Linked DNA regions of Astyanax mexicanus. The protein of the gene in region 3 purifies or fractionates together with the protein of the main gene of each other region. This does not show direct contact. Links are inferred from orthologs where the notes say so. Each region holds a gene or a part of one and is shown on either strand. Other genes may lie near its edges.

Region 1 (8,245 bases), on a different chromosome or scaffold from region 3:
ATACAACTGTACACATTAGAATTATTGGTAAGCGAATATGACAAATAACAACATCATGGCAACCACCTTACAACTCCCTGGCAACCACCAATCAACATAATTTTATGATAAATGCCTGAAATGCCTCACTGTAGAACCCAACTGTACAACCTAACATCACCAGAGCAATCACATGGGATGTCATAGTAACAATTTTTGGAAACCAAAGCAACCAACCTAGATACTATAGCAACACTATAGCATCCAAACAGTAAACTCTTATCAACCATTGCAATGGGAATTGTCTGGGAAACCACCTCAACCACTTAACATCATAGTAAATAGTAGTAGGAGTTATTTACTGATACTAATATTACAAACAGCATTCATTTATATACATATTAGCAGTGGCATTGTGGATTATATTATATAGTTCTTTAAAATTTATATACATTTTTTTTTAATCCTCAATTATATCTATTTGACAATGTGATATTTGTTTTGCATAAAATACAAGCAGTTAATTGTATTTTCACTTTTAAAGCTAAAATTTGGATCCACTTTTACAAAGAAGAAAATGTCATATGTATATATATATATATATATTAGTGACTCACAAAGTTAGTATGATGGAGACTTATTGGGGTGAGAGTGGGGTCTTATGTCACATGTGTCCCGTACAGAGTTTATCTGTGGATGAACGCTCATCACCTGCTCATCCTTATTACAGGAAACATTAAAACTCAACTCACGGCTGTATCAGTTTTACCTGATTTTATTAATGTACATTCATTTATTATTTTTTGATTTACTTTATTGTTAATTTATAAATGAATAAATTATATTAGTTAGTCTCAGATCTAACTTTTAGCAAAATTTTTCCTAAATATCTTATAATGTTATAAAGGAAATATCTTATAAAGTTTAGTCATGTTCCCACAATAAGATAAATACATGATTGAGCCGCTTAGTCTAATGGGTTAAATTGTTTTGTGTATATATATATATATATATATATATTTATTTCTTAGAATTTTCTTTTTCATTCCTGTTTTTTTGTACATGCTCTAATCTACTGATAATAGACGTCATAATAATAAATAATGTTTATTTATTTATTTATTTATTTTAACATGCTCGGCTCTATTGATAATGCGTGCCATAATAAAGGATAATGTAATGTTTTATTTATTTATTTATTTTTTAGAATTTTTCTTTTTAATTCCCTGTTTTTTTTTAAACATACTCGACTCGATTGATAATGCGGGTCATAATAACGACTGATTAATTGATTGTTGTGGTAAATAGTATCTTCTGTTTGGCTTCTTCCAGATGAGTCATGTCCCTTATAGGGTAAATGGGATCAGCTCAGTGAATCAGAGGGTGGTGATGTCATGCAGAAAGAGGGAAGGTCAGCAGCAGAATTCCTGTTGGGGGGCTGGACAGAGGGGAGGGGGGGGTCCTGTTTCAATGTTTCAGTGCCCTGTGTCAGAAAGACTGGGGTTGGGGGGGTTGGTTGTTTCTCTGTGTGAGTGTGAGGCAGGACTTCCTTATGGGCGTGGTGAGCTCATGTCTCGCATTCTTCTTCTCCAGCTCTGTGTTTCAACACCACCAACTGCAGAGAGAACTCCAGAAGCTCCAGACCAGGCGGGGCTGGACCAGCACCGGACCCAGTGTCCTGTTTCTGCTTTGCCCCCTTCTATAAATAAGCGGGGTGATGTAGGAAGGGGTGTTTTCTGACGCCACGGCCCAGGAATGGCTCCTGAGTGACGGGGGGAAGGAGGGAAGGAGGGAAGAAGCCCCCACAGCTCTCTCTCCATGACTGGGAGTATTTTTGGCCGTGTTGTCATCTCTCCGTAACACGGGCGTATATATAAAGGAGAGGCTGGAGGAAAAATGCATCTGTACAGCAGTGCCCTCACACACTACCCTCCTCTCTCTCAGAAAGTTCTGATAACTATCAGCACCAGCAGCGGCAGCAAGCCATCTGCCGAAGACTCCAGCTCTGCTAAAGCCGCTAACTTCCAGAACGCAGAGGAACCGTTGGCTGGAAACATGCCTGCCTTCGCCTGTTACGACACTGCTGCTTCCATGAGGCCGCATTTGTTCACATCCAGAGCTGAAATCATCATAACCCGGCCTGATGGAGTGGAGAGATCTGTTCCAATTCATCTAGTGAAGCAAGGGAGTCATCTAGACCTTCTGGGATCTACAACAGAGAATGGGTCTAGTAAAAAACCTGGATTGACCAATCATCATCAATCATCAACACGCGAGGATGTTTCAATATATGAGAGCTTGCCAGGAATTATTAGAAATATTTGCAGAGCATCTGAGTCTAAGGATGAAGAGGAACCAGTAGGCTTGTGTATCGCCATCAACGATGCGACGACTCAACAGCAACAGTCGTCACAAGGTTCTTCACAAAGTGTTGCGTCAAAAGACACAAGTAAAGAAGAAGAGGAAGATGAACAACAAGAACAAGAAGACAACGAAGAAGAATATGAAGAAGATGAAGAAGAAAAGTCGTTCTACCCAATCAAAAGCAAAGACTCAACCAGAGTTCCATTAGAGCGACAGCCAACCGAAGAGTACGAATACGACAAAGACCCAGTCTTCGAACTCAAGATTCTCCAAGATTCGCCCCCAACCGTGGTCAACAATAAGACCAGCAGCAGCAGCAGCAGCTCCAGCCTTAACGACAAAGTGAGCCAATACCTGGCAGAGGTGGACAAGCAGAACAAGTACCTCCAGGACAAGAGGAGGTACCGTTTCCACATCATCCCTGATGGAAACTGCCTTTACCGAGCAGTCTCTAAAGCCGTGTACGGAGACCAGTCCATGCACAAAGATCTCCGAGAGCAGACGCTCTACCACATCGCCGACCACCTCGATGAATTCAGCCCCATCATCGAAGGCGACGTGGGCGAGTTTTTGATCAACGCGGCGCAGGACGGGGCCTGGGCCGGATATCCCGAGCTTCTTGCCATGACTCAGATGCTGAATGTCAACATTTACCTGACCACTGGAGGCAGTCTGGAAAGCCCTACCGTGTCAACCATGACGCACTACCTGGGAGAAGAAGACCTGTCCAAACCAGCCATTTGGTTGAGTTGGCTGAGCAACGGACATTACGACGTGCTGCTGGACCAATGCCAGCCCAACCCCGAGTACGACGACTGGTACCGTCACACGCAGGTTCAGCGCAAACGCGATGAGGAACTGGCCAAATCCATGGCAGCGTCCCTGTCCAGAATGTACATTGAGCAGAATGGCCTTCACTAAAAGGAGCTGACCAGATACACAATGCACTGTTCCAATGATAGCATCTACTGTACTGTGCTCTTTATATACTTTATATACTGTATTTGTTTTGTTTTCTAAAAGGATTGCACTTCTGATTCCAAAATCCGTTTGGATTAAGTTGCCTTAATTTATTGTAGCTGTGTGTGTGTGTGTTTGTGTGTGTTTTTATATCAGTGTTTTTAAGTGCAGCGCACAAGACATGATGTGTAGAATGTGGAATTATGTGGAAGCCTGTTGGCTGGGTGTTTGTGTGTATGTGTAAATATGAGTGAAAGTACTGGGAAATTGTGATGGTGATTTATATATATCTATATATTTTTTTTCCAAACTTATTAAAAAAAGTTTATCCTGCTTCTATTGGAGTAACTGTTTCTATTGTGCAAAGAAAGCTTTCTACTACAGCTCTGGAAAAACATAAGAGACCACTCCAGTTTCTCTGATTTTACTATTTATAGGTTTATGTTTGAGTAAAATGAACATTGTTGTTTTATTCTATAAACTACAGACAACATTTCTCCCAAATTCCAAATAAAAATATTCTCATTTAGAGCATTTATTTACAGAAAATGAGAAATGACTGAAATAACAAAAAAGATGCAGAGCTTTCAGACCTCAAATAATGCAAAGAAAACAAGTTCATATTCAATATGTAAGTGAGTATAATAAATAAATAAAATAACCTTATTTCCAAAAGGCATTTCCAAGGACTGACTTTCAGCTGGATATTTTTGTTGGACCTGGCAACCCAGGCTCGGCTGCTCTCGCTAACCAGCAAGGTGAGGCTCAGCTGTATCTCCAAAACGCCTATGGTTTATTAAAGGTTGATGAAACGACATTGAAACAATGTTGTCCTTTCAACTGTGTTTTACTTTTCAAATTGAACACCAAATCCAACGTTGATTCAACCATAACATCAACGTTTCCAGCTGGCATTTCAACATTGAATAAATGCTGGAATTGATTTTAAAAAGTGAATTAACGTTGAAATAGCAGTTGTTTCAACGTTAAACGTTCAACCTTAATAAACCATCCCCGCTGGCATTTCAACGTTGAACAACCTTGATGTTATGGTTGAATCAAGGTTGGATTTGGTGTTGATTTTGAAAAGTGAATCGGCGTTGATATGACAACGTTGTTTCAACGTCATACGTTCAACCTTAGCTTACTAAAATGAGAAAATCCTATGGTGAACAGTGTTAACAATAAACTTAGATTACTGCAGTAAATACAGAGTATAAAGAAAGTTTATACCCACCACCACTACCAATCTAATTACTGAACATCTGACATCGAACATCAAAAACAGTAAAACACTAAAACAGTAAAACTATTAGAACATGAACATGGTGTTAAATAAATAAAAACAGTTACTGCAAATAGAAATAAAACACTTTTTAATTTCTCCATCCAAACGTTTTTAGAAATGAACGTTATATGGTGATGAAATGTAAAATGCTGATTTAAAAGGAAGAAGGTTGAGGACATTATATTGATTCAACATTAAAATTTCAATATTAGCACAACCATTTAACATTAAACGTTGATTCAACGTTGTTTCAACGCTGAAGCAACAACAGACATTACTTTAACCACATTTTAACGTTGATTCTAAGTAAAATTCCAGCTTGGTTTGTTTGGGTGCGCAGTTTGTTCGAAAAAGTTCAGACTTTAATTTTGTAATTTCAAATTAAGAGTCCGCTCTCCTCTCGCGGCTGGGATGGGAATTACTGATTAAATACAACTCGATTTAGTTTCACTTTCACCCTGTTCTCTCAGTCTCGCGCCTCGTCGTTTGATCGTCGAGGATAAATTATATTTTTACTAAATTTCACAGTCAGAGTTTCAGTAGTGAGCAGAATTTTACCTGTAGCTACACCTGAACTTTACCTGCACAGAAATGACTTCTATGGATATGAGCCCTGCGTCTAAGAAAGAGGTGAGCTGTGGATTTTGGTTAGTCACTGTAGGCCTGAAAACTCAGATACTCCATTTTTATTACAGCTCTTCTTTATACTGCATTACCTCTTATCTCCTATACTCCAGGCCTGCAAAATACTCTAGCTTTTCTTTATATAACAACAATAATACTTTTTACTTTTTATCTTTTCTTTTACTTATTTCTAAAAAAAAACACACACACACAATACAAACAGAGACGTCCAAGATACATTTATAAAACATGCAATCACGTTTTTTTAATGTATTTATAATAAAATCAGAGAACTATATTAAAAATATATATGTTTGCAGTAATATCTACCCATGTTCTTATAATCTCACTAAAATTATACACACACGTGGACAAAATTGTTGGTACCCCTGGGTTAATGAAGGAAAAACCCAGAATAGTCACTGAAATAATTCGAATCTGATCAAAGTAATATAATAAATAAAAAATTCTATGAAAATAAACCAATGAAAGTCCAATGTTGATTTTGAATAGAATGATTTAAATTAAAAAAATAAACTTTTAATTTATTAAATTATGTGACCAAAGGGACATGTTAAATCAAGGTGTGTCCACTGTAATTAGCTAAATATAGGGCTGATCTTGGAATCATGTTCTCCATGTTCACCAGTCTTACACACTGCCTTTGGATAACTTTAAATGTTCCATGACTTCTGTCCAGGCCTGTTTCATAAGTTATTTTTTTAAAGCATGGTTAAAACAGAATATCTGACTTTCATCTGTTCATTTTCATAGAATTTATATTTATTATTACTTTTATAAGATTCAAGTTGTTTCTGATACCTTTGTGGGTTTTTCTTTAATTAACCGAGGGGCACCAACAGTTGTGTGCACGTGTGTATGTAGATATAGGTCAGAACTGTTCATTTTTGCTCTAAACATCCAGAAAAAATAGAACATTTTTTTATTTTTTTAATGTTGTTAATCAGAATGTGTTTGGAAAGATCAAGCTAGTTTTTTTTTTCAGTAAAGCATAAGAATTACAGGGTCATTATAAAATGTAAAGATGTTATTTTTATTACTTTTAACTCTTTTTTTTTATTTCTGTACTGTCTCTTAACATTACTTTGAACTTCTCTACTTTAAATCTGATGATCCTCTGTAAGAACAATAACACAATATAACAGTATGACGTTCATGTTAGCATTTATTTAATTATTTATGTATTTTACAGGTTGATGGATTCACTAAGAAGTCCATTAAAGAGGTAAAGCGTTTTCTTGGTTTGTAGACTCTCCCAAATAAAAAAAATATATATATTTTTTTTTTCACAAGTATCTCAGTCTCAGACTCCTCTCATTTCTCCTCTCTGGCACAGGCAGAGCAGCTGGTCTCAAGTTTCTTCCCGCAGATGATTGCCAAGATGGACAACCTGTTGCAGGTAAAGTGTCTGGTTCTGATACTTTAGCTTCTGAAAGATTATGATATGATATCATAACTGCAGATAGAACTACAGATATATATATATATATATATATATATATATAAATATATATATATATATATATATATATATATATATATATATATATATATATATATATATATATATCTGTTATTGATTTTAGGCCTCCCTGGGTTCAGAGGACCTGTCTGCTCTCAGGGCTCCTCTGGACATCCCGATCCCGGACCCCGCCAAAGAGGAGCTGAAGAAGAAGAAGAAAAGTGAGGTAGAGTATTTATTTACATCCAGACCAGACATTAAAAATCTACCAGTTCCTCAGAGATACTGATGACCTCTCAGCGAATCACATTGCAGGGTCAGAACTAACTGTGGCATAATGGATGTTAATGGATATTGATAGATAAAGCATTGTAAGTTTTATCTTTCACACAGAAAGAAGGAAAGGATGGAAAGAAAGACAAAGGAGATAAAGAAGAGGAGGAAGGTAAAGTATATCTTGCTCTGATACTGGACACAGTTAAAGCTGCACTTACAACTCATTACATGTGATAAATTTCATCTTATATTTTTAAAATGAATGCAAATCCATACATCGACTTAAGCCCTATCTGGACAGGATTAGTTTCTAGTTTCTCAGGGGGTTCTGGGGTAATTTTCTCTTTTATGGGTTTTTCTATCCTCTGTGATTTTATTCCTGTCCAGAACGATCATGTAGGTGTTTTATTTCTCAGACGTCCTCTGAGAAAATTACAGGCTGAATTATCTACTGTTTGAACTCCGTGCTCCTCCGGTAATTTTAGTCCCGTCCGGACGCACATCTCTGAGTTTCGTCTCCTCGCCTTTAAAAAAATAGATATTTGTTCACTGCCGTGCACCGTAATTACACTTTGGGAGCCACGGTTTCTACAGAGATCCACGTTAAAAAAAAACACAACAGCGAGTGGAAATGGAGGACCGAGAAAAAAAACACTGATCCTCCTGTTTTTACAACTGCAGTCCGGCTCCAGGAGTTTTATCACTAAAGAGTAGAAGTGTGAAATATTTTTCACAGACGCCCCCTGAGAAACTAATCCTGTCAATAAGTATATATAACAATAAGTTATTATTGATAAGTGCCTTTATGCTGTTTTGAATGTAAAAACGTTGTCCAAATTAACAAATAAAATATCTGATATATAAGTTTTTATATAACTATTAAGAATAAGAGTGTTAGATTGTGTAGTGGTTATCTCTTATTGCACTCTTCATGCTCAAATGTTAACAGGATTGTTTTTTTATTGGTTTAGCTGGTCCTCTCTGTGGTCCGATTGCTGTTAATGAGAAAGTCGAGAGTCTCATCAAAGAAATTAAGCCTCACATTCAGACTCTGAAAGAAAATCTCAACACTGTAAGTGACTCTTCTCATTTATAGTATTAGGTATATAAGTATAATCTTAATATTATATATATATGAAGTTTGGGTGTTGTGTAAAAAATAAAAACGGACTACAATGATTTGCAAATCCTTTTCAACCTACAACTGTGTAAAAAATGAAGAGATCACTTCAGTTTCTGAATCAGTTTCTCTGATTTTGCTATTTATAGGT
Region 2 (7,515 bases), on a different chromosome or scaffold from region 3:
CCCTGCAACTGCAAAATGGTTGAGGCCTAACGCTGGCTGCGTTGTCTGCGTATGCAGAGCGGCGGCCCTGATCGCAATACACGAGAAATATGTCTTTTCATATTTAATAAAAACAGCAGATTGCAGCATCTACTTGTGTTTATTATATGCCACAATCTAATAAACGATAGAATTTAACTTAGCATTATTAGAGACGTTTAAAGGACGGAAGACCATAAAAGACGTTTAAATATGTTTGTTTAAACATCGCATAATAGTCTTCTGAATGTTTATTGGTGGTCCTACAAACGTTCAATAAGAACGTCCCTTGCAACTTTTTGGCGAACCTTTTTTAGTTAGCTGGGAAAAGCATTTCTTTTGTTTTATTTAAATTTTATTTATTTATAGTTACACATAGTTAAAACTAAACTGTTGTCATGTGTGAAGTAAAACGCGTTACAGCAGTAGTGAGGAATTCAGCACAGTTTGTTGTTTATTTTTTATCAACTATAAAAATATTCAATCTATTTTTTTATTCTAATCAACATGGAAACGGATTTGTCCTCTTAAAGTTAAAAAGATTTGGAGCTTTTTTAAAAAAATAATAATAATTCAAATTAAAAAATAAAAAGATTCTTTAAAAAATCTAAACAAAATAAAAAATAGATATATTAAATTATGAAAAATACAAATAAACCGGATAGTTTTAGCAACCACAAAAAAATTAAACTTTAAAAAGCGAAAAAACATAGTTGGCATCAGTCTACTACGTTAAAAAACAACAATAAAAAAAACCTAAACCCCCCCCCCCCCCCACAAAATAATCAAATATTAAAAAAGCAAAATAAGAAGATTACATGAAAAATCATCCACAAAACAACTAAAAATAAAACAACTACCCGCAAAAAAAATCCTCAAAAAATAAATATTAAAAAACGACCAAAGTTTACATAAAAAACAACCATAAAAAAACACCCCCTCAAAAAAATAACCACATAAATATTTACATTTTAAAAACAAAAAAATAAAAGATTACAATAAAAAAAAAAGTTGGTAGATATTTTTAATCAGATTTTGGACTTGGATGTGTTTTTTTTTTATTGTTTGTTGGCTTATTGCTATTACTTTGGAACGTTCATGTCAATGACATCACAGTTTTACTGCTGTGGATATAAATATGACGTCACTGTTCAACACTATAAAAGGCTCAGCAGCACGAAAAACTTCAGTCGTCAACGGATCTTCGCAGCGACAACATGTGTGCAGTTCGAGGGATACTAGGAGCAGCCAGCCTTGCAGCTCTAGCTATAGCTGCCGGTGGATCGCTTTACTACCTGTACCGATCCAGAACACAGAAGCCGACGACAACGGAGGAGACTACGGTCACTCCAGTGGAAGGAGACCCTGAAACGGTGGAGGAGAGGCAGGCTGAGCCGATGGTTGAACCTGTACTCTCCGAGACTGTGATGGAGTTGGTGGAGGAAGATGGAGGAGTTGACTGCCCCAAGGAAGAAGATCAGGTCACTCTCATTATGGATGAGGCACCAGAAGCTCTCAGCCTGCTACAGGTCACTGACTCAACAGAGTCAGAGGAAGCTGAGGTGACCCTTAATACAGAGCTTTGTGAGAGTGTGGTGGAAACACTGGTGGAAGATGGAGGAGTTGACTGCCCACAAGAGGAAGATCAGACCACTCTCATCATGGATGAGGCACCAGAAGCTCTCAGCCTGCTACAGGTCACTGACTTAACAGAGTCAGAGGAAGCTGAGGTGACCCTTAATACAGAGTTTTGTGAGAGTGTGGTGGAAACACTGGAGGAAGATGGAGGAGTTGACTGCCCCAAGGAAGAAGATCAGGCCACTCTCATTATGGTTGAGGCACCAGAAGCTCTCAGCCTGCTACAGGTCACTGACTTAACAGAGTCAGAGGAAGCTGAGGTGACCCTTAATACAGAGCTTTGTGAGAGTGTGGTGGAAACACTGGAGGAAGATGGAGGAGTTGACTGCCCCAAGGAAGAAGATCAGGCCACTCTCATCATGGATGAGGCACCAGAAGCTCCCAGCCTGCTACAGGTCACTTATTTAACAGAGTCAGAGGAAGCTGAGGTGACCTTTAATACAGAGCTTTGTGAGAGTGTCGTGGAAACACTGGAGGAAGATGGAGGAGTTGACTGCCCACAAGAGGAAGATCAGGCCACTCTCATCATGGATGAGGCACCAGAAGCTCCCAGCCTGCTACAGGTCACTTATTTAACAGAGTCAGAGGAAGCTGAGGTGACCTTTAATACAGAGCTTTGTGAGAGTGTGGTGGAAACACTGGAGGAAGATGGAGGAGTTGACTGCCCACAAGAGGAAGATCAGGCCACTCTCATCATGGATGAGGCACCAGAAGCTCCCAGCCTGCTACTGGGCACTGACCCAGCAGAGACTAAGGAAGCCGAGACGGAGGCTGAATGCAGACCCGAAGCTGAATCCAAAAAGAAGCATAAGAGACGAGGGAGACGAGGAAGATCACAAAAACTACGAAGACTAGGAAGACTACGAAGACGAGGAAGACTAGGAAAACGAGGAAAGAGGCTGTATAAGTAGGACAGTGTAGGAATAAGTGGATTTGTGTCAACGCAAAATAGAAATAAATCTGCATAAATCAAAATTTACAGTGTAAGGGGTCTTTTTTAGGTCTTTTAGTCCTTTTGAAGTCTTGTATGTGAAGTACAGTAGCACACTCCAGAAAAGAATAAAAAAAACAACCTCAAAAATAATTAAATATGAGAAAACAAGCAAAAAAATATTACATAAAAAATCAACCACAAAAAAACAAACAAAAATACCCTTAAATAAAATAAATAAATAAATAAAAAAGGTTTACATAAAAAACAACCATAACAACCTGGCTGAAGCTGAGGTGATAGTGGAGCCTGTACTCTGCGCGATTGTGATGTAGTTGGTGGTGGAAGACGGAGGAGTTCACTGCCCCCAAAAGGAAGACCAGGCCACTCTCATTGTGGATGAGGCATCAGAAGCTGCCAAACACTGGTGGATGATGGAGGAGTTCACTGCCCTCAGGAAGATCAGGCCTCTCACATTATGGATGAGGCATCAAACGCTTCCAACCTGCTACTGGACACTGACCCAGCAGAGACAGAGGAAGGAAACTAAGGTAAAAGATGTAACTGCTACAGAAGCTGAGACAAAGGCTGATAATGAGCAACCAGGAGGTTGTTGGGGCGAAGGTGGGATGCAAACTTTTGTCACGAAAAGTAGGTAGTTAGAGCAGGTATTTATAGGGTGGTTTATTGATAAGAGGTGGAGTTAGAGCGTGGAGTTTGGGTGTGGTCCTTCTCCCAAACTTTTTTTTACATATCATTTATGGATATGAAATATCCATAGCAAGCAACAAGAAGTAACATCTTCAGAAGCACGTTTACAAAATTAGCGGTCAGTTTCCATATCACACTTATATTTTAAAAGAAAATCTTTAAAAGAAAATGTTATATATTAATTTCAGCCTAATTTCTCTCACTTTGTTAGAAATTAAATATTTTAAAGGTAAAGACCACACTATACACTCTACTATATAATACTATTCCAAAATGATATTACTTAAGGAATTGTAGCAATGTCTTTCTGAAATAATTCTCTTATCAGCTTATTATTTTGCTGGTGTTTAGCTGAAAGCATACAAGTGAGTGACAAGGAAAGTTTACACCTCTCAGCAGTAAATTTGCACCAACTGGTATAGCATTTATCACTGTAGAGTATTATCACTGTAGAGTACTTGTCAATTTTGTATTTATTAATTAGGTCAATATAACTGTATGGTCTACTATTTGATTCAAGTAGTTGACCAACTAAAATAAAATGATTCCAGTTTTCATAAAAAAGTGACTTGAGTGACATAAATTTATCCAAGAGCAGCGTGTAAGACTGGTGGAGGAAAACATGTCAAGATGCATGAAAACTGTGATCGAAAACCAGAGTTATTTGTTTTCTTTGCATTATTTGAGGTCTGAAATTCTGCTTTTTTATTTCAGCCATTTCTCATTTTTTTGCAAATAAATGCTCTAAATGACAATATTTTTATTTGGAATTTGGGAGAAATGTTGTCCGTAGGTTAAAGAATAAAACAACAATGTTCATTTTACTCAAACATATACCTATAAATAGCAAAATCAGAGAAACTAAATGGCTCTCTTTTATTTTTCCAGAGCTGAACGTCATTAAATATTGCTGACACATTGTCCACGTACGTCAACTCGACGCTGGACTTTTATTTTGAAAAACACCGGTTACTTACAAAACCAAAACCATCTCCGCCTGCAGGCTCTCAGCACAGTGACGTCTGTATCAACACACTTCAGGTAATGTTAACTAATGTTAGCGATACAGTAAATCTACCCGAGTAACAGAGTTTTAGGTCTATTCGGACAGAACGGCGCAATTTTAGCTAATCAATCTGCTGCAACTTCGACAAGCTAGTTAGTTAGCTTAGCTAAAAAACTGTTTATCGAGTGAACCCCCGCTGCTGTGTAAAGTGAATGTGACAGAATCATGTCAGTCTTTACAGAACGACAAGAATAACGCAGACCACACAGGACTTCAGATATAACAATGATAAAACATTGGTAAAAGAGAGCAAGGCTGCTGTATGTGTTGTGTGATACTCAGACAAATCCTAAGGAAAGCTCATCTCCACACGCCTAACGTTACTCCACTTTCTCAAATGAGCTAAGCTAGGGTTAGCTAGTTACATTGGCTAGCGTTACATAGTTAATTAATTCTACAGTATTTGTTTACTAGAAAACATTGAAACATCACATTGAATTCAAACAGCTAACATTTTATTGTCCTTGAGTTTAGTAGGACGTCCTGTGTCTCTTTGGGTACACCCCACCAACTTCACTCTTTTGAGTTCCATTATTTCCAAACCAAAACGTGTTAGACAAACAAAAAAATTCTTTGTGTAAGGGTCTTTTTATGTATACTGCATATGTGTTCATTAATGTCTTTTATATACAGTGCCCTCCACAAGTATACAGTTCAGTACACAGTTCAGAAGATAGCGTCTTCTGTTTGAACCCACACATTTTTCTTGTGAGCAAAAATATTGGAACAGATAAACTTAAAGTCAATTAAAGTGAAACATACTTAATGTTAGGTTGCAAATCATTCGCTTTCCAGGCAGTGGATTTTGGGTCATTATCTAGTTGCATAATGAAGGTTCTCCCAAACAGTTTGGTTTCATCTTTCTTTAAATTAACATTTTTCTGTAGACTTCTGATTTAATTGTACATCAATGAACAAGAATCATGACACTACTTCCACTGTGTTTTACAGATGAGCTGGTATGTTTGGAATCATGTTTAGATACTTTCTTTCTCCACACTAGCCTTCCATCACATTGGTAAAGGTTAATCGTTGTTTCATCAGTCCATAGGAGTGTCTTTGTACTGCTTGGTAAATAACAAATTAATAGTGGTTTGTATTATCTGGTGATGCCTAAATACTTTTGTTCACAAAGTCTTCGGTGAACAGTAAATTGTGATACCTTCACTTCCGCCCTCTGGAGGTTGTTGCTGATGTCACTAAAGGTTGTTTTAGAGGTTTTCTTTAAGTGGTTGTCTTTACAGCTCTCTAAATGTTTCCGTCAACTGCTGTGTTTTTTGCTTGTTCTACCTGTTTATCCTATGTTGTTTAGTACACCAGTGATGACTTCTTCTGCAGGAAAGTTGTCCTGGCTATGGATAATATTTATGCAATGTACCAGATCTAGATGTAAATACTTGGAAATAAAAGTTAAAATGTAGATTTTTTTCTCTCTAATCTTTTAGTGTCAAATTTAAATGTTTTCAGTCTACAGTCTTCAGTCTTGCACTTAGGGTGAATAAGGTTTAAGTGAGGCGATAATACATTTACAGTACCAGTCAAAAGTTTGGCCACACATTCTCATTAATTTTAAGGTGTATATTCTTATTAAAACATTAAAACAACTAAGAGACGCATATGGAATTACATGGTAAACAATAAAAGTGTTTGGCCTCACCTGACCTAAACCTAACTGAGATGATGATTTGGGATGAGCTGGAGAACAAAAGCAGCAACTATTGTTCAGCACCTCCAGAAACTCCTTCAAGATGCTTATAAAACGATTCCAGCTAACCCTGCCTCATAAATTCACTGATAATAACATAAAAAAACAAAGTGTGCAAATCTGTACTTAAAGCTAAATATGGATATTTAGGATATCTTAAGTATAAAACATATTCTGGTTTGTTTAACCATTTTTGTTTACAAAATAATTTCAGATGTTATAGAAAAGAAAGAAAACACATGTGTGTCCAAATGTTTGATTGGTACTGTGTAAGTGATTATATTGATAAAAAATGGTTATTGTCTTCTCAATTTAGCTGTCAATGACTTTAATGTAATTTTCCTTTGTACAGTATGAAGTTAAGGGTGAGAATTAACAAGCAGACCAGCCGTGTGGAGCTGGAAGAAGCAGAGCCCACACTGACTGAGCTCAGTATCCAAGTGAAGGAGGTGTTGTTGCCCTCAATCGGTTTCAGGTAAGTGCCTTTTATAGCCACAGTAAACATTTTCAATGTTTTTGTCTTTTAAATGGTAGATATACTGTTGATTGTGTGATATGACCAAAATGCATTGGCTGCTGAACGGAGTTTCATAAGGTCACAGTCATTTGCATAAGTGCTGAGTATAAAGCTCCTTTGATTCATGCACATGTTCATTCTTCATGCAGTGCTGATACAGAGTTCAGTCTGTCTCTGAATGGGAAGGAGTCGCTGGTGGACACTGGGCAGACGCTGTCCTCGTGTGGGGTGGTGTCCGGAGACATGATCAGTGTGATTTTGCCTCAGAGCATTGCTGACTCCGCCCCGCCACAGCCCTCTACTTCTCAGACTCACAACAGAGCAACAGATCAGCTGAACAAACAGCAGAGTCAGAGTCACACTGTATCAGCCATGCAAAGCTCCAGTCAAGTGGTGAGTACTGTTATCTGTCAGACAGATATGATCAAATCAAATCTGTGTAATGTTATTACATGTTCTGATATAGATTTGTCCACATTAAAGAGGCATTTAAACAATTGACAGATGTGGGTCAGGTTAAAGTGTTTCTAGATTTGAATCAAATATGTGGTTTGTGGAATCTGGTAAAACTTGGCACTTGACTATATGTAAATAATATATTTTATACTTTTTAAACTTTGAATGAGTAAAATATAATCATCTGTACAGTGTTAATGTAACCAAATTATGTGCAAAATTATACATACAGCTCTGGAACAATTAAGAGACCACTTCAGTTTCTGAATCAGTTTCTCTGATTTTGCTATTTATATGTATATGTTTGAGTAAAATGAACATTTCATTCTATAAACGACGGACAACATTTCTCCCAAATTCCAAATAAAAATATTGTCAATTTAGAGCATTTATTTTCAGAAAATGAGAAATGGCTGAAAAAACTAAAAAGATGCCGAGCTTTCAGACCTCAAATAATGCAAAGAAAACAAGTT
Region 3 (8,290 bases):
ATATATATATATATATATATATATATATATATATATACATATTGATATATATCAATACCTAATAGCTACAATTAGCTAGAACTGTAATCTGATAAGTGTGAAAGGTTATAGCTATTAAAACAAAGTTGGATTATTACCAAACAAACTTTTTTCTTCTTCTCATTTTAGAGGACATTTCTGTTGATTTAGTGAGTTAAATCTGTTTTGGTGTGTTAGTGTTGTTGGTCTGAGCTGTAGTAAATGTTAAGTTAGGTGAATGTTGTTGGTCTGACTTGTTGAGTCCCCCCCTCCCCTCCACCACCAGCTCCACACCCTGTTTGATCAGTAGATCCGCTCAGTAAAGTAAAGTTACTCGGTTCTTACTGCGGTGTTTAACCCGCGGGCCGGGCCCAGGTACTCACAGTTCTCCATCAGGGACCAGCAGGTCCAGTTGTCGTTGCGGCCGCGGCACTGCTCCCACATGCTGGCGTAATGGGACTTGGCGTTCTCGTCCTCCACCCAGCCGGACTGCGCCGCGATGGCGATGATGTCGAAGATCAGCGCGAACAGCAGCAGCAGCGGGAGGATCCACCGGCAGCGCGGGTACGCGATCCCACAGCGGAACATACCGACACCCGGAGAGAGGGAGCAGGACCGAGAGAGACAGAGAGAGAGTGCAGGAGTGAGTCTGTGTGAGTGAGGGAGTAGTGTGTGCTCAGCGCCCGGAGTCCAGAGTCCTTTCTGTGGCTCTCAGAATCCGGCCGACCCTAAACTACAGAACCGAGCAGCTCCTCCCACCTGAAACCTGAGCAGGGCTCGGCTCTGCCGGGCAGGAGCCGGGGAGGGCGGGGGCCGTGTGGGAGGGGCGCTGAAAGGGAGGGGCGCGTTTACTTTCCTGCCTTTGTTTTTGCAGTACATCTCCAAAAGTTTGTGTTCAGACTGCTAACCCAAATCAGATTCATGACAGATCCAGATTTAAGTCAAAAGAAATCAGATTTTGCATATTGATTTTTTTGTCCTGCATGTTTCTAAGAACTGACGTTAGTTGTTAAACATTCTGGTAATGTCACTGCATCGTCACTTGTGTCAATGTTTAGATTTTTAGTTTTGGGAATGTTCATTTTTTACACACATTTTTATTCTGTGTTAGCTGGGAAACCACGTTATCTGCTGTGGTAGCTGTGTGGGGTGCTGTGGTATCTGCATGGGTTACTGTGGCATCTGCATGAGACGCTGTCATCTGCGTGGGTTGTTGTGGTATCTGTAGGGGTTGCTGTGGTGTCTGCATAGGTTGATGTGGTATCTGCACGGGTTGCTGTGGTATCTGTGAGTTGCTGTGGTATCTTTATGTTTTGCTGTGATTCATGATTTTGTTCATGATTTTGTTTATAAATCATTGGTTGTTCATATAGTTTAGTTAAACATATCATATTGCAGACAAACACAGTGATATTTGAGAAGTGAAATGAAGTTCATAGGATTTACAGAAGGGTGCAATAATTCTTTAAACAAAATTAGGCAGGTGCTTAAATTTGGGCACCCCAGGTCTGTACTGGTTGCTGTGGTAGCTGTGTAGGTTGTTGTGGTATCTGTGTGGGTTGCTGTGGTATATGTGTGGATTGCTGTGGTATCTCTGTCGGTTGCTGTGGTATGGAGGTCGGTGCTCTCTACCTCTGGTTGAGTAGCTCTAGCACAGCATATGATGTCCTTTGATTTTAATTTAATGGTGTAGCTGGTCTGTCCGTATATCCAGGTTGGTTGTTCAAAATGATAAGAGCTCATACCAATACTCTAATTAAACATCCTAAAAGCACTCGGCTGCACTGTGCTACATTTTTTTGTGGAATTTTGGTCATGTAGAAATGTATCAAAAACATCAGAAAAAATAGGGGCTAAATATGTCAAGAATAAAAATATTGTATATAGTGTATATTTTATTCAAAAACTTTTTAGGATACTCTGGATAAGGATTATATTAGTAAACACAGCCTGTGCACAGCAGGTGTTAGTAGTAAAATGGATTCAGTGAGGTTTCAGGTAATGAAGCTTCCGGCAAATGTTTGGGCTGAAAAGCTCCATTTGACAACTGAACAAAAAGCTAAAAACACATCTCTAATTTGAAAGAAAATGGTTAAAGAAATTTAAGAGGTAGGATTACTGATGAAGGAGTACTTATACTTATACTTAGCCAATATTACACTTTATAGCACAAACCTCGAGTGTATTATTGGGATTATACCGCTGTTCCATTATTGCTGTTTATTGAAAGATTTTAAATTAAAGAGGATGAGAAAATACAATCTGTTTGGTTATAAACACTCCGTGAGTTAAAATGGTTCCATTTCTGCTCTGTTTGTATCGGTGCTGTATCGTTGCTAGGTTACCTGTATGTGGTGGAGTAATACATGGCGAACTTCGGTTACAGTGCATTACCGGCTGATAACGGCACTCATAGAACACTTCTTAGCCAATCACATTGTAGGGTCAGAATTAACTGTGGTATAACCAGAGTTTAAAACTGTGACCGAAATGACTCCCTATTAATTATTTAGGGCATTATTGAGTGTGTCAGAATCATGAGAGCGAAATAGATTGGGTTTTAGGGCACAATAAACCCCCATAATGCATCAGGATTTAAAGTAAACATTGCTGCTTACAAATCAAGCTGAATGTGTCCCAGAATGCATTGCGATTCTCACTGCAAAGCAACAGACAGCCGAACAAACTGAGTGGACAGCGAGCCACCAGGGTTGCCAAATTGTTACAGTGGGATTCAGATAAAAGTCAATGGGTAAAATGTGTTTAAAATCTGCATAAATGCAAAGAAAAACAGCCAGACAGCTGATGTTCAGCATATTTACAGTATCACAGGGTTTATTCCAACATGACCTTAAATAAAATACCTTAAATATCTTAAATATCATTAATTACAATAAAATGTTATTTAAATTATTTGTATTATGTGTTTGTGCATTGTATGATAGGACACATGAATGAAAGAAAAGTAAATACAGTACATACAAATAAACTCGCAAAAAATGACTTCATGACTTACATGAAAACATAATAATCAACACAAACACAGCGTATTTGAATCTCCATCACTGATTATTTAAATTTCCAAAGTCATAACACTTGGTAGTTTCAGATGTTTCTCCATTTCAGACAAACCAAGTCTCCCTGAAGCTGCGGGAGTCTCCCGCATTTAGGTAGTGGCTCCCTGATGCCCAGGGGCGTAGCAGCAAATTCTGGGCCCTGTACACCCTCTATGTTAATGGGCCCCTATCCATGCCAGTAAACAAAGGAAAGTGAGCGAAAAAAAAATCAGGATTTTCATGGGCCCCTCTCCCTACTCGGGCCCTGGGTAGTCAGGTCCACTTTTCCCCCCACTACCACGCCCATGCTGATGCCCACGAGTCACATATAATCTCCCGCAATTCAGAACGAGTGCCCCAAACGCGCACTGCACGCAAACGCGCACACAGGCGACAGTATGGTGGCCGAGAAAGCTCAACGCAGTGCAAATTGAAAAGCGCTGCAAAAGCACAAAACACATCCATCAAAATTACAACACAGGCGCAGCAAATAGAAAAACGCGCTGCAAATAGAAAAACACGCTGTAAATACAACCACAACACAACGGAAGTGAGTCACAACACAACGGAATTTTCCCGGGGGACCTCAAAAGATGCTGTACCAGCTGTGTACAAAGGACAATAAGTGGCAAACAAGCTTCTGAAAAGTAAGTTATGTTTATTACCTGTGATTACCATGGTTGTGTGCATATTATTAAAAGTTCTGCTTCACAAAACGCCTTGTTTGCCACTTATTGTCCTTTTTACACATAGTGAAGTCCGAGACGTTACTGAAGACGCAGCTTAGCTGGTCCAGTATCTTTTAAGGTCCCCCGGGAAATTCCGTTGTGTTGTGACTGACTTCCGTTGTGTTGTGGTTCTATTTGCAGCGCGTTTTTCTATTTGCAGCGCGTTTTTTTATTTGCAGCGCGTTTTTCTATTTGCTGCGCCTGTGTTGTAATTTTGATGGATGTGTTTTGTGCTTTTGCAGCGCTTTTCAATTTGCACTGCGTTGGGCTTTCTCGGCCACCGTCCGACAGACTTTTTTCTCTAATCGTGTGGGGGAAAGAGAGAGAGAAAACAGAGAGGGTTCTGATTGGCCTCAGTTTTTAGTGTGGGCGGGCAGTGTTTTTCCCCCCTTCCAGACGGTTCAGTTAGTGAGAGAAAGCAGATCATGGCGGAGGCAATATTAATAATTATTTTAATATGATATGGAATGTTTTGGATGTTGTGCAATTTTCTGTGATATTGTAACTGTCAATGTTTGTCAAATAAAGGCTTTTGTTTTTGTTTTTCAAAAAAAAAAAAAAAAAAAAAAAAAGGAAAGCAGAGGCAGGGCCTTCCAAAAAGAAAAACGTTAAAACTCATTTCACCTCTAAATACTCTAAATTTAATTAAAAAAAAAAAAAAGTAAAATTAATTAATATAAAAGTAAAGTTTCGTTATCTTTTGGTGTTATCTTGGGATGTCTGCCATTTAGTTTATTAATGGATTATGTTTGTAAACAGTGTAAATATAACAGAGCGATTCCTCCATTATCACTATTCACTAACTTTAATTTAGAGCTCAGTTCGTGTGTTTATGTAGTTTTAAACACAGTTCTGTTGTTTTTGGTGTCCGTGTTTCAGAATGATGAGGGCGTGTCCGAATTCACTTTAGTGAAGTACACAGTCTCTCGCTATAAAGCGCAACACTAATGAGGGAGTAGGGAACCATTTCAGTCACAGATAAACACCCAATCATCCATTACTCCGGATATCGATGGGGATTTAACAGGGCTGAGATGGTCTGGGGGCTCGCGGCGCTGTGTCTCCCAGTTATACAGGCTCAGAGTTCAGCATCATCCACCTCCACTCACTGAGCGCCGGCTCGCGGACTCCCTCTAGCGGTCAGTGCTATAGTGGAGGAGGCGCTCCTGCAGCAGCGCCCCCTGCCGCCCGGGAGACACAGCGCCGCGAGCCCCCAGACCATCTCAGCCCTGTTAAATCCCCATCGATATCCGGAGTAATGGATGATTGGGTGTTTATCCAATAACGATGTTAATAACAGGTTAATAATAACAGGATCTTATTAAAGCTATTTCTGAAATAGAAAGAACTGATTACAAGTGCTTCGCGTCACCGGAAAAGAGCGATATCAACTTCCGTCCGCCATGTTGCAGTGATACAGCGGGTTTCGGTTCGGTTAGAGATGATTTCCGCGCAGCTCCGAGCCCCGCAGTCCGGCACCATGCAGCCCCGCAATGCCGCCACCGCCGCCGCCACCCAGCACAAGTTCTCCCCGTACGCCTTCAACGGAGGGTAAGAGGACCACAACTTTACATCCAGAATATAACTGCTATTAGAGCTGTAGTTATAGAGAGAGCCGGTTCTGGAGTTGCCGCTGAACCGATGCTGCGGGTTTAATTTACCCGGTCTCCGGCTCACAGGTCCAGTTAGACTCGGTTCTGCTTCAGTGAGCTGCTGTAAAGTCTCTTTCTCTCTCAGCCCGACTCCAGCTCTCCTCTCCTCTCCGCCTGTAGCTCACCAGGAGACTCGCCGGTTATCAATAAAGTGTTATAATATTAATAACTCAATCTGTGCTTCAGTGACTGGAGTAACATAAATGATGTTGGGTAGATATCACTGTAAGCTGGTAGATATTATAATGAGAAGTATCAACAGTGTGGATTTTTCTTGATCAATTAGCAAAAAAAAACCCTTTAAATATAGGTTATATATTTCACAAAACACTGTAATGTAAGTATTGCGCTAGTGTACATTGCGATGACTAGGCAGAAAAGAGAATATTGTTCAGCTCTAATGTAGAGTCAACTTTCAGTTCAGTTTTAATAATTACAAGAGATTAAACCCACCCTGAATACCTGTTTACTGTAACTATCGTTATTTAGTTAACTTATCTTAGTCTTATATTTTAAAACTCTCCTCACTGTGTTTATTACATTATACAGGGACACCTGCTTAATCAGTTGTTTCTACTGAATTGTTTTTACTCTCCTTTTTTTGGTTCTACTTATTGTCTCTACTGTCCAGGGAAGAGTTTTCACTAAGTTTTGGAACGTTATAGTGAGGATGAGGATGTGATTTAATTCAGTTACAAGAGCATTATTGAGGTCGGGATGTTGGATGATGATCACCAACTCATCCCATCTTTAAGTATTGGATGGAGCTCTATCATTTCAGAGAACACATATCAACCCAACCTTTATGCTATGCAGGAAAACAAGGACAGAATCGGTAATACAAATAATTGGAAAGCAGAGTAATGTACACATCATACAGCAGAACTTACAACAATATTAAACCATTAATAACATCATTCTGATATCAAACATCAGCTGTTAATTCATCTCATTTATTTAAAGCGTTGTGTAAAACCTGAGTGTGTCTGGGTTGTGTGTCTGATTTCATACTGTAAATGTTGTGTTGCAGGACTGTGCTGGCGGTTGCTGGGGAAGATTTTGCTCTTGTGGCCTCAGATACTCGTTTAAGTGAGGGCTATTCAATCCATAGCCGGGATTCCCCAAAATGCTATAAACTGTAAGTGTGCACAGCTTTTGTTTTCATCTATGTAGATCCCTGTTGTGTGAAGTAAACAAAGTTATGCTAATATGGTCTGCTTTCACAGGACGGACACGACAGTGATTGGCTGCAGTGGTTTCCATGGTGACTGTTTGACACTGACCAAAATCATTGATGCAAGACTGAAGGTACGATTACTTTCACCTCTACATCTGAGACTGGTTTGATATTCAAACCACCAATACACAAGTTTCACTTACCTTAACTATCATTCCTTAGACAAGACCCAAGACACATGAGCCCAGCATAGTGTCCTGGTATATTCTTTGTGTTTGTTGGCAGGTTGAAAAAAACACATAAAATATATGTAGAAATGCACTATTAAAAAGTAGTGTTTTTGTCAATAAACTATTTATCCAAATAGAAGATGAATAAAAAATGTCCACAGTCCCTGACCTATTATGACAAAAATTAGCATTGTAATGATTTTTATATATATATATATATATATATATATATATATATATATATATATAATTTTTTTTTTTTTTTTTTCTCTTGTGTTGAGGGGAAAAATAATGTAAATGGTGCCCAAAAAAAGAATGGTGTGGTCTCCCTCTACAGATGTACAAACATGCAAACAACAAGTCCATGACAAGTGGAGCCATTGCTGCCATGCTGTCAACGATTCTGTATGGAAGGCGATTTTTCCCATACTACGTTTACAACATCATCGGTGGACTGGATGAGGAAGGTAAGCTTCTCAAGAAGGTAAAATTTTCTCAGATCCATTTTAAACTCCTACCTATAATACTCAGTGTCTTTTTATTTAATCTTTAACTTTTCCCATTCAAGGTCGTGGTGCGGTATACAGTTTTGATCCTGTTGGATCTTATCAGAGGGATTCTTACAAAGCCGGAGGATCGGCAAGTGCAATGCTGCAGCCACTGCTTGACAACCAGGTGAATTAGCTAAAATTATTTATTTAGATACACACAACAGAAAGTCTTTAACACAGGCAATGTTATTCAGATATTCTCTTAATACATGTATCTTTTTGTTAAATTTTTAATTTGTAAACTTTAACGTGTGATTAAAACAAATTCTGCCTTTATTCATGCATAGATCCGTTAAGCTATGTTAAAGGTTTGGGGAGTAAATGTACACACATACTTTACGATCCGTCACAGTACGGGGGGGGGGGGGGGGGGGGTCACAGGCTGGTTCACACAGAATACACGATACATGTCATCTGTAGGAACATGCGAGAACCACTGAAGGTAATGTGGAACCAAGTTCACAGCCGAGTTGCACCTGAGAACTTTAGATGAACACAGTTGTTTTTAGCAACATGTAACTCGCTTAGCCTGCTGTGCTAACTGTAGTGCTTAAAGTATTGGCTAAGTTTGGCAAGTGGAAGCAACCCCTTTTTATAAAATCTACTGTGTGGGGAATGGTTTTAGAAACATTTGTTAATGCATTTTCTACACCATCCGGCACCAGACGTGCTGATAACAAGAGCTAAAAATAAAAACTGCAACCCAACTTCTAATTCCCACAGTTTGTTTTTGTATTTTCAAAACATGTGGTCTGTTTTTTAGGAGCCAACTACAAGAGTGTGTTTATGCATGTATAAAGGCAGAAATCTCTCTTTTTTTCTGTTGGAAAAATTAAGGCTTAAGCTTTATGTAAATATAGACTTTTAAACACACAAAC
Region 4 (7,234 bases), on a different chromosome or scaffold from region 3:
TATATATAAACACAAAGTTAACTTGGTGGATTCTCAATAATGAAATCAGAACCACAGTGAATAATATATAGAATCAAGTCCATACATACTCTGTCCATGTAAGATTTGAACCATGCAGGGACTGCCTCCTCTTCAACTTTGGTCACTTTGTTTTCTTTCACAACCACCTACAAACAAATAATAAGCACAATCAAACAATGAAATTGAAAAATTGTAAAAAAAAAAAAAAAAGAAAAAGAAAAAAGAAAAAAAAAAAAGAAAAAAGGCATATGTATATCTCGTACTAAACATCATGCACAGTACAATTTAATTCAAATCCGAGTCCTTACCGAGTCCCGCTCAGGGGTCACTTGTGTTTCCTTGTCGGCCACTTTTACTCTGGCCCGATATGGCGGAGCAGGTCTGGGGTCTATTTTGATTTCTTTACCTTCCGCCTTAACAGCCCCACCTTCAGCCTGGCCCTTCATCTTATACACGTTCATGTGAAGCTGGTTGGCTTGCTTAAATGCACTCTAAAGAGAACATTAAGATTCAAAACTGTTTGATGTTGTAGTCTTTTAAAGGTAAGAGACAATTAAAATGCATTAAACATATTTTATTATAAACACCAATTATGCATAGTCCTCTAACCCACCACCAGCTGTTATAACCCAAAGTGTAAAATTAGAAATGACGAGTTCTTACCTTCAGAGCCTCCATATACTCATCTGGTGAAAGAAAAATGTTTTAAAAATATTATGAATAAATTTAAACGGCACTTAAAAAGACATACCACATTTACCCCATACAGCCAAGGATTAAACAGGATTTATAATTACTTAGATAAATAAAATATGGCAACATAAATCACCTACCTTGACTGTTTATGGATATCTAGAAGTTTATTTCGGTTTCGCAAAAATATATATACACATAAGAAAGAAAGAAAAAAATGTATAAACAAAAAGAAACACAACAGCAAATTTATATGCATGGCAAACAAAAACAAATACAGACTAAAAAAAGATATTATATTTATTATATATTGCCCTTCCTTTTTACATAAGTAATCTACAATTTGCTGTTATACAATGTACTGACAAATAAAAACAGAAACATCAAACACACATTTGAGGTAATAATGATCATTCATCAGTTTTAAATGTTGTTCATCTTTTTTACCTTTTGGTGAACTACACATTCCCAACACTGCTTTAATAGATAAACATTTATTCTTTATATATTTCTCTTGCTCTTATTTTCTTTAACATACGTATTCGACTACATTTATAGCTGCTCGCTCGAAATTCAGTTTAACTTCTGAACCCAGTTAGGTATTTATAACATCTGATATTTGTATGTTATCTGTTCAATAATAAAGTCAATAAAATCATTATTATATGAAAGTTAGTAAATTAATAAATCATTTGTTTGTTGGTTCATACAAGTCTGCTTGGATCTATTAAAGCTTTTTTTTATAGATTTGTGTTAATTTTATATATGTGTTTTACCACACCACCACACAATAGGTAATGTAGCTATAGAACAGTACAGTTTTCATTGTGATTTTTAATGCTGTATTTTTACATTATAAATTATTTTAGACACAGCACATAAATAATCAATTATCATACACAGATATATATATATATATATTTCTGTTTAACAAACCACACAGCTCTGAAAAAATAAGAGACCAGAGTTTCTTTGATTTTTTTATCACTAGCCATCAAACCAAATTTTTGCACCAAACATATACATATAAATAGCAAATCCACAGAAACTGAAGTGGTCTCTTTTTTTTCCCCAGAGCTGTATGTGGTTACCCACACTACCACACAATAGGTAATGTATAGAACTGTGAAAAAACAGTACAGTTTACACGTTTTTTATACAGTAGTTTTAAATTATAAATGATTTTAGAAACAACACATACATAATCAATTATCATACACAGATACATTTTCATACACTTACTGAACATAGCTAAATTCAATACTATTTTTTCATAAACCACATAATATAAAAATCAGCTTTCATGATGATAATTTCGATGATAATTTATTATCAAATAATGTATGTAATAAAGACTAAAAAACATTATTTTGATATCATTTTAACTTTTCTAATTTTTGTCAGTTACTATGATAGAAGCATTAACATGGTCAAATCATAACATGACCATAACATCAGGTAGCCAGGTTATTTAACCTAGCTAACGTACTGCTTACCTCTTCGTTGTCCTCGTCAAAATACTTCACTTGAAAATGGCATAATCCAAAAGTCGTTTTAATCTAAAGGCAATTAGAGAATTAAGGGAATTAGCTAACAGGAGGAAATGACAGCACAAAGGGTAGGTAGTTAGCTAGCTAGTTAATCTAGGTAGTGAGCTAACAAGATAACCTACGTTAGCTAGGTTAGTTAAGTAAGAGCGAAGAATAAATGACAAAACAGCAACAATAAGAAGAAGAATAACACTGAGAAAATAACATCAGCTAAAGCTAGCTACTATCTATAAACGATTCTGTCTTAAATGTCATTGTCACCTGGAGACCGAGGCCACGGAGGCCAGGTGACAATAACGACACAGCCGCATTTTCTCAGGCTGGCTAACACTGTCAGACTGCTAATTTATCTACACTAGAGCCTGTTAATGAACACCACAAAGGAAACATGTAGAAGCGAAGGTGCTGTGGAGCGAACTTAGCGGGCTATCGTCCTCCTGTCTGGGTTTGTTTATGTGGGCCTGCGCCTCGGCCTTACCCAGGCCTCCACCGTCTCCCACTGCGCCTTCTCCGCGTCCACCACCGGCAACTTCTTCACACTGCCTCGGAAATTCACTTTAACGGTGACGGGGTGATTCATCGTCTTCAGCCGGGACTGGGTGGGGGGAGTAATCGGTAGGATAGGGACGCTGAGATTCACGGCGGCGGATCCAGCGTTATCTTTCTCCCTCTCTCCCTCTTTCTGTCTGTGTGTCTAACTGTCTGTCTCTCGCTCCGTCTCTCCGTCTGCCCGTTCTTGTTTACATCGTTTAACTCGTACACTCCCCCACATCCACGTAACAGGAAGAGCCCCAGCGCTGCTTCTCCTCTCACCGCCGCCTGTTTTCTGGGCTGTTTAAACCATTAGAACACATTTAATCTAAAATCAACAGAATAACAGGATTTAACCCTAAATGTAAAATAAACTCTTATTAAATTATATAGGATATGTAGAGGGGGCGGGGCGGGTTTTGCGCATGCGTGTTTGGCGGTGACTTGTCATTCGGTCGCACATCAGTGTTGCCAGATTGGGCGAATGTGTTTTTAAAAAAATAATTAAACGATGTAGCATTTAAATAGTGTTCAAATTTAATATAATTGTTTTACTAGATTATATATGTATATGTTAGGATCTCAAAAATCGGGCTATTTTACGCCAAACTGGGTGGACTCTGTTGGGCTGGTGAGTAATAATGCATGCAGGTTGAAATATTTATTCATATATACATACAATAAACGGTATTGCTTTATAAACCCAGTTGCCAGAAGTTTGACTAAAAAGCTTATTTTGAGTTTGCACGAGTAGATCCTTCTTTTATTTCTTGCAAGTTTCTTGAAAATCGGTACATTTTTAGAGTTTTCTCTGTTGATTTAAATATTTTAATACTGTTAATATGCGGAACATTCCTAGTTTTGTTTTTGGGTGGTTTTTCACAATTTTTGGTGGGATTAAATAAACATGTTGGCAGAAAACAAATGTATGAAGCTCATCAGTGTTGCCAGATTGGGTGATTGAGAATTGAGAATAGTCTGATATACTGAGACACTGAGTTTTGTGTCTCGGATTTTTGTAGGCCGTAATCATCAACAATTAAATAAATAAACCTAAAAATAGACCATTCTGTGTGTAAAACGTCTATATATTATATGAGTTTCACATTTTGAACTTAATTACTGAAATAAACATGTTTCTCCCTACTGAGCGCCTTTAGGAACACTTGTCTCAATCTGGCAACCCTGTCGCTCATTTCTGAACGTCATCTCGGAGCGCGCGAGCACCTTGTGGCTGACAGTCAGCAGTAAAAGCCACACGTTGGGTTAGCGCTGTTCAGACAATCCGCGGCTTTTTATCGTTACTGATCCAGAAACATGTCTTCGCTTTTAAAAGTGGACAGTGAAATCAAGTCAAAGGTAAGCGCGTTCCTCTCCTTTATAGCGGTGTCAGTGCGGGAGAGCGGCGTTAGGCCCTTCGTTAGCCGTTAGCTTACTCGATGTGGAGCAGCGGAGCCGGTGCAGCGGGAGAACTGCATAGCTAACCTCAGTAACTATCGCTACCTAACTTTCCCGCGCCGGAGCCCAGCAGCTCCCCGGTTAGACACAGCGCGGGCCGGCTGTTAAATTGGTAGATGGCCGTGAGTTCGGACACGTTTAGGGCTTTTTGTTTGGTAAAAGCTTTCTCAGCTTGAGGTGAATCACTGAATTCCCGCTGTGACTTTTTATCTAGCTAGCATGTGGTCTCAGGCTCGCCGGTGTTTTGTCGTGTTGTGCTATCCATCCATACGTGTTACCATTAACAATGCGCATGCGCTGACTCATTTTTAAACGTTTTCATTTTTTTTTTTACATATCTTGGAGGTTTTTTCTTTGTTAATTCTGTTTTTTCCCCATTTACTTTAAACATCCAGAGCTCACTATCATTATTTGCTCTTGTTGCAGCAGTGTTAAAGGCGACAATTAAAAATATATTTATTTTCATAAACTATTAAAAAATAAAATATGGTTTCTAATCTTTTCTTGTAGCTATTTTAATTTACTTGGTAGAGTGATTCAGGTAGCACATCTAAATATGCTAACATATTTCTGCCGCAAGCATGTTCTAATGTTGTGCTTTTTTGTGTGTATTTTTACCTTTTATATATATATATATATATATATATATATATATATATATATAGTTAGCTACACTGGGGTAGCAAGGTTTGACGAGGTAGCACACCTCGCCAAAACACCGGCTCCATTCAGTTAGCCGCTATGGCTAAAAGCCGTTCAATCCTTAAAACACACCAGCCAAACAACTCATTTTTTACCAGACAGTTAAAATTCAAATTACAGATCTCTGCAATGCATTTATACTAGTAGAATCTCTGATATGAAGAGGTTTAACTGGACGTTTACTAGGGCTGCAACGATAATCGATAATGTCGATTATTTTCAATTTGTCGACTACAAATTTTATTGTCGACTAATCGTTAGTTTTTAACAGTACGTTACTGCATTACACAAAGTGCTGGAGATAAATGTGCAATGGGAGATGGGCAAATGGCCATACTTGCTATACTCAGTCTAACACATGCCTTCATTTGTTTCTCTCTGCCTGGGGAATTATCGCTTGTAAACATGCTAGCTAGCCATCTGATAAGGCCAGTGTTTGCTTAATTACCCACCTATATACCGAAGTTTACTTTGAGCTACTTAGCATAGCTAGCTAGCCGTGGAACTAAAGGCCAAGAGTTGGTCCTTGCTAAATTAATCACCTGTTTTGTGTAAAGCAGTTGTCTCGTAGGTATTGTGTTAGAATTTATAGAAGGTAATCTTTCTTTTTTGCCTTTACAGGTTGATGTTTTCAGAGAACGAATCACAGGAGAGGTGAGTTTATCTAACTTTACACAACTTTGAAAGATGGCATGTAAACACTTCGGTTAATTTCTTCTAAAAATGTCTTAATATCACCTTTAGGCCGAAGATCTGGTTGCAAACTTTTTCCCTAAGAAATTGTTAGAACTGGACCAGTTTCTCAAGGTACTTTTGATTTTAAACAGCTTGTTTATTGTGCGATTTGTTCTGTATTTTTATTTTTAGCAAGTAATATGATTTGTTTCAATTTTCAGGATCCTCTCATAAACATCCGTGAACTGAAAGAAATCCATTCTGAGATCAATCTGACTGTGCCAGATCCAATTCTACTTACAGACATCCATGACGGTCTTGAAGGGGTAAGAAATTGACTTAGAGATTAGAGACATTTTTATTAATTGATTTGAGGCCTTTTCTACTAAAAGAGTCGAATTATATGTCACCATTTTCTAAAGAATAGAACATTTTGTTAAATCTTTCTAGGTGTAACTTCGGGGAATGCACAGTAAATAATCACTATTCATTCAATCAACAGCAAAATGCCAAAAAAAGAAAACTTGAGGATGGTCCAGGAGATGACAAAGGTAAGTTCTGCTAAATAAAGTGTCGTTGTTTTTGGTGAATTTGTAGCTGTTGTCACAATGTGGCCTCTTCTTATATGTAGTTGGCGGGACCAAGGTCTATGTAATGCCTGGTGGAATGATGAAAAGCAACGGCAAACTAGTAGACCTTATTGAGAAGGTTAAGCCTGAAATCAGAACCCTCATAGAGAAATGCAACACGGTAGGTCTAGGTTTTACCTTATGAGCAAGAATTGTCACACTTGGGATCTTTTGTGTTCATTCTGCAACTTATCAGCTTTTTGTTTGTTTTCTAGGTAAAAATGTGGGTACAATTGTTAATTCCAAGAATAGAAGATGGCAACAACTTTGGGGTTTCAATCCAGGTACTTTTTAAAAATATTTTGAACACCTGGTTGCAGCCTGATGATGCTGTAATAACAAAAAAAGTGAATTGAGAAAAGTGGATGGTCACGTTTAGTTGACGGCTATTACTTTTATTTCTCTTTGTAAAGACATTAAGGAACTGTTTACAATTTTAAACAGCAAAAGTAGTGTAGAGTTGGAGTTTAAACTGTCTGTCAACTCTTGCAGGAGGAGACTGTGGCTGAACTCAGAACAGTGGAGGGAGAGGCAGCATCTTACCTAGACCAGATATCAAGGTACTGTCAGTATCTCCACGCTGTTTATGCACAGATGTTTCAACGTTTGTTGTTTTACTACCCTGCTTGTGGAAAAGCATATGGCTTTGTAATGCACATATCCCTCAATTTTGTGCAGATGTGGTTAAGTGTCTTTTTTTTCTCTCTCTCTCTCTCTCTCTCTCTCTCTCTCTCTCTCTCTGTCTTTTAAATATATAGATACTACATCACACGAGCAAAGCTGGTTTCCAAAGTAGCAAAATATCCCCATGTGGTAAGTAGGAATTTTAATGTACATGTGTGTTTGTTATATGTTTAGCACTGTCTGCAAATAGCGGGAAAAATAGCCCTTATTCCAATACACTAGTTGCCATTATAGGCAATTTAAGTAAAGGCACAGTTTACAGATTTTGTCAGCTGTGAGACATTAAAATTC

The links.
Region 1: the proteins of psmb1 (region 3) and psme1 purify together in Homo sapiens (affinity purification with mass spectrometry; 4 studies listed by BioGRID and IntAct, counting the BioPlex papers as one, with this or other methods). This does not show direct contact. The link is inferred for Astyanax mexicanus from reciprocal best matches to the Homo sapiens genes PSMB1 and PSME1.
Region 2: the proteins of psmb1 (region 3) and fbxo7 purify together in Homo sapiens (affinity purification with mass spectrometry; 3 studies listed by BioGRID and IntAct, counting the BioPlex papers as one, with this or other methods). This does not show direct contact. The link is inferred for Astyanax mexicanus from reciprocal best matches to the Homo sapiens genes PSMB1 and FBXO7.
Region 4: the proteins of psmb1 (region 3) and psme3 fractionate together in Homo sapiens (co-fractionation; 3 studies listed by BioGRID and IntAct, with this or other methods). This does not show direct contact. The link is inferred for Astyanax mexicanus from reciprocal best matches to the Homo sapiens genes PSMB1 and PSME3.

The regions. Positions count from the first base shown.
Region 1 is NC_064413.1:749,377-757,621, reverse strand, and holds the start of psme1 (proteasome activator complex subunit 1), read left to right. Parts: upstream 1-5,027; 5' UTR 5,028-5,182; coding exon 5,183-5,221; intron 5,222-6,428; coding exon 6,429-6,461; intron 6,462-6,572; coding exon 6,573-6,635; intron 6,636-6,822; coding exon 6,823-6,924; intron 6,925-7,091; coding exon 7,092-7,143; intron 7,144-7,945; coding exon 7,946-8,046; intron 8,047-8,245. Other genes in the region: transcriptional regulator ATRX, read left to right, coding at 1,876-3,264. UniProt on the Homo sapiens protein: Implicated in immunoproteasome assembly and required for efficient antigen processing. The PA28 activator complex enhances the generation of class I binding peptides by altering the cleavage pattern of the proteasome.
Region 2 is NC_064409.1:44,922,501-44,930,015, forward strand, and holds the start of fbxo7 (F-box only protein 7), read left to right. Parts: upstream 1-4,241; 5' UTR 4,242-4,339; intron 4,340-6,421; 5' UTR 6,422-6,422; coding exon 6,423-6,544; intron 6,545-6,735; coding exon 6,736-6,979; intron 6,980-7,515. Other genes in the region: uncharacterized protein LOC125798983, read left to right, coding at 1,236-1,547, 1,716-2,567. UniProt on the Homo sapiens protein: Substrate recognition component of a SCF (SKP1-CUL1-F-box protein) E3 ubiquitin-protein ligase complex which mediates the ubiquitination and subsequent proteasomal degradation of target proteins and plays a role in several biological processes such as cell cycle, cell proliferation, or maintenance of chromosome stability.
Region 3 is NC_064414.1:16,613,223-16,621,512, forward strand, and holds the start of psmb1 (proteasome subunit beta type-1), read left to right. Parts: upstream 1-5,182; 5' UTR 5,183-5,243; coding exon 5,244-5,353; intron 5,354-6,484; coding exon 6,485-6,592; intron 6,593-6,680; coding exon 6,681-6,762; intron 6,763-7,198; coding exon 7,199-7,328; intron 7,329-7,429; coding exon 7,430-7,536; intron 7,537-8,290. Other genes in the region: p53 apoptosis effector related to PMP-22, read right to left, coding at 402-606. UniProt on the Homo sapiens protein: Non-catalytic component of the 20S core proteasome complex involved in the proteolytic degradation of most intracellular proteins. This complex plays numerous essential roles within the cell by associating with different regulatory particles.
Region 4 is NC_064422.1:28,879,378-28,886,611, reverse strand, and holds the start of psme3 (proteasome activator complex subunit 3), read left to right. Parts: upstream 1-3,988; 5' UTR 3,989-4,112; coding exon 4,113-4,154; intron 4,155-5,576; coding exon 5,577-5,609; intron 5,610-5,699; coding exon 5,700-5,762; intron 5,763-5,851; coding exon 5,852-5,956; intron 5,957-6,132; coding exon 6,133-6,181; intron 6,182-6,261; coding exon 6,262-6,380; intron 6,381-6,474; coding exon 6,475-6,543; intron 6,544-6,751; coding exon 6,752-6,819; intron 6,820-7,017; coding exon 7,018-7,072; intron 7,073-7,234. Other genes in the region: nbr1a (NBR1 autophagy cargo receptor a), read right to left, coding at 90-167, 330-512, 685-707, 855-873, 2,211-2,273, 2,743-2,844. UniProt on the Homo sapiens protein: Subunit of the 11S REG-gamma (also called PA28-gamma) proteasome regulator, a doughnut-shaped homoheptamer which associates with the proteasome. 11S REG-gamma activates the trypsin-like catalytic subunit of the proteasome but inhibits the chymotrypsin-like and postglutamyl-preferring (PGPH) subunits.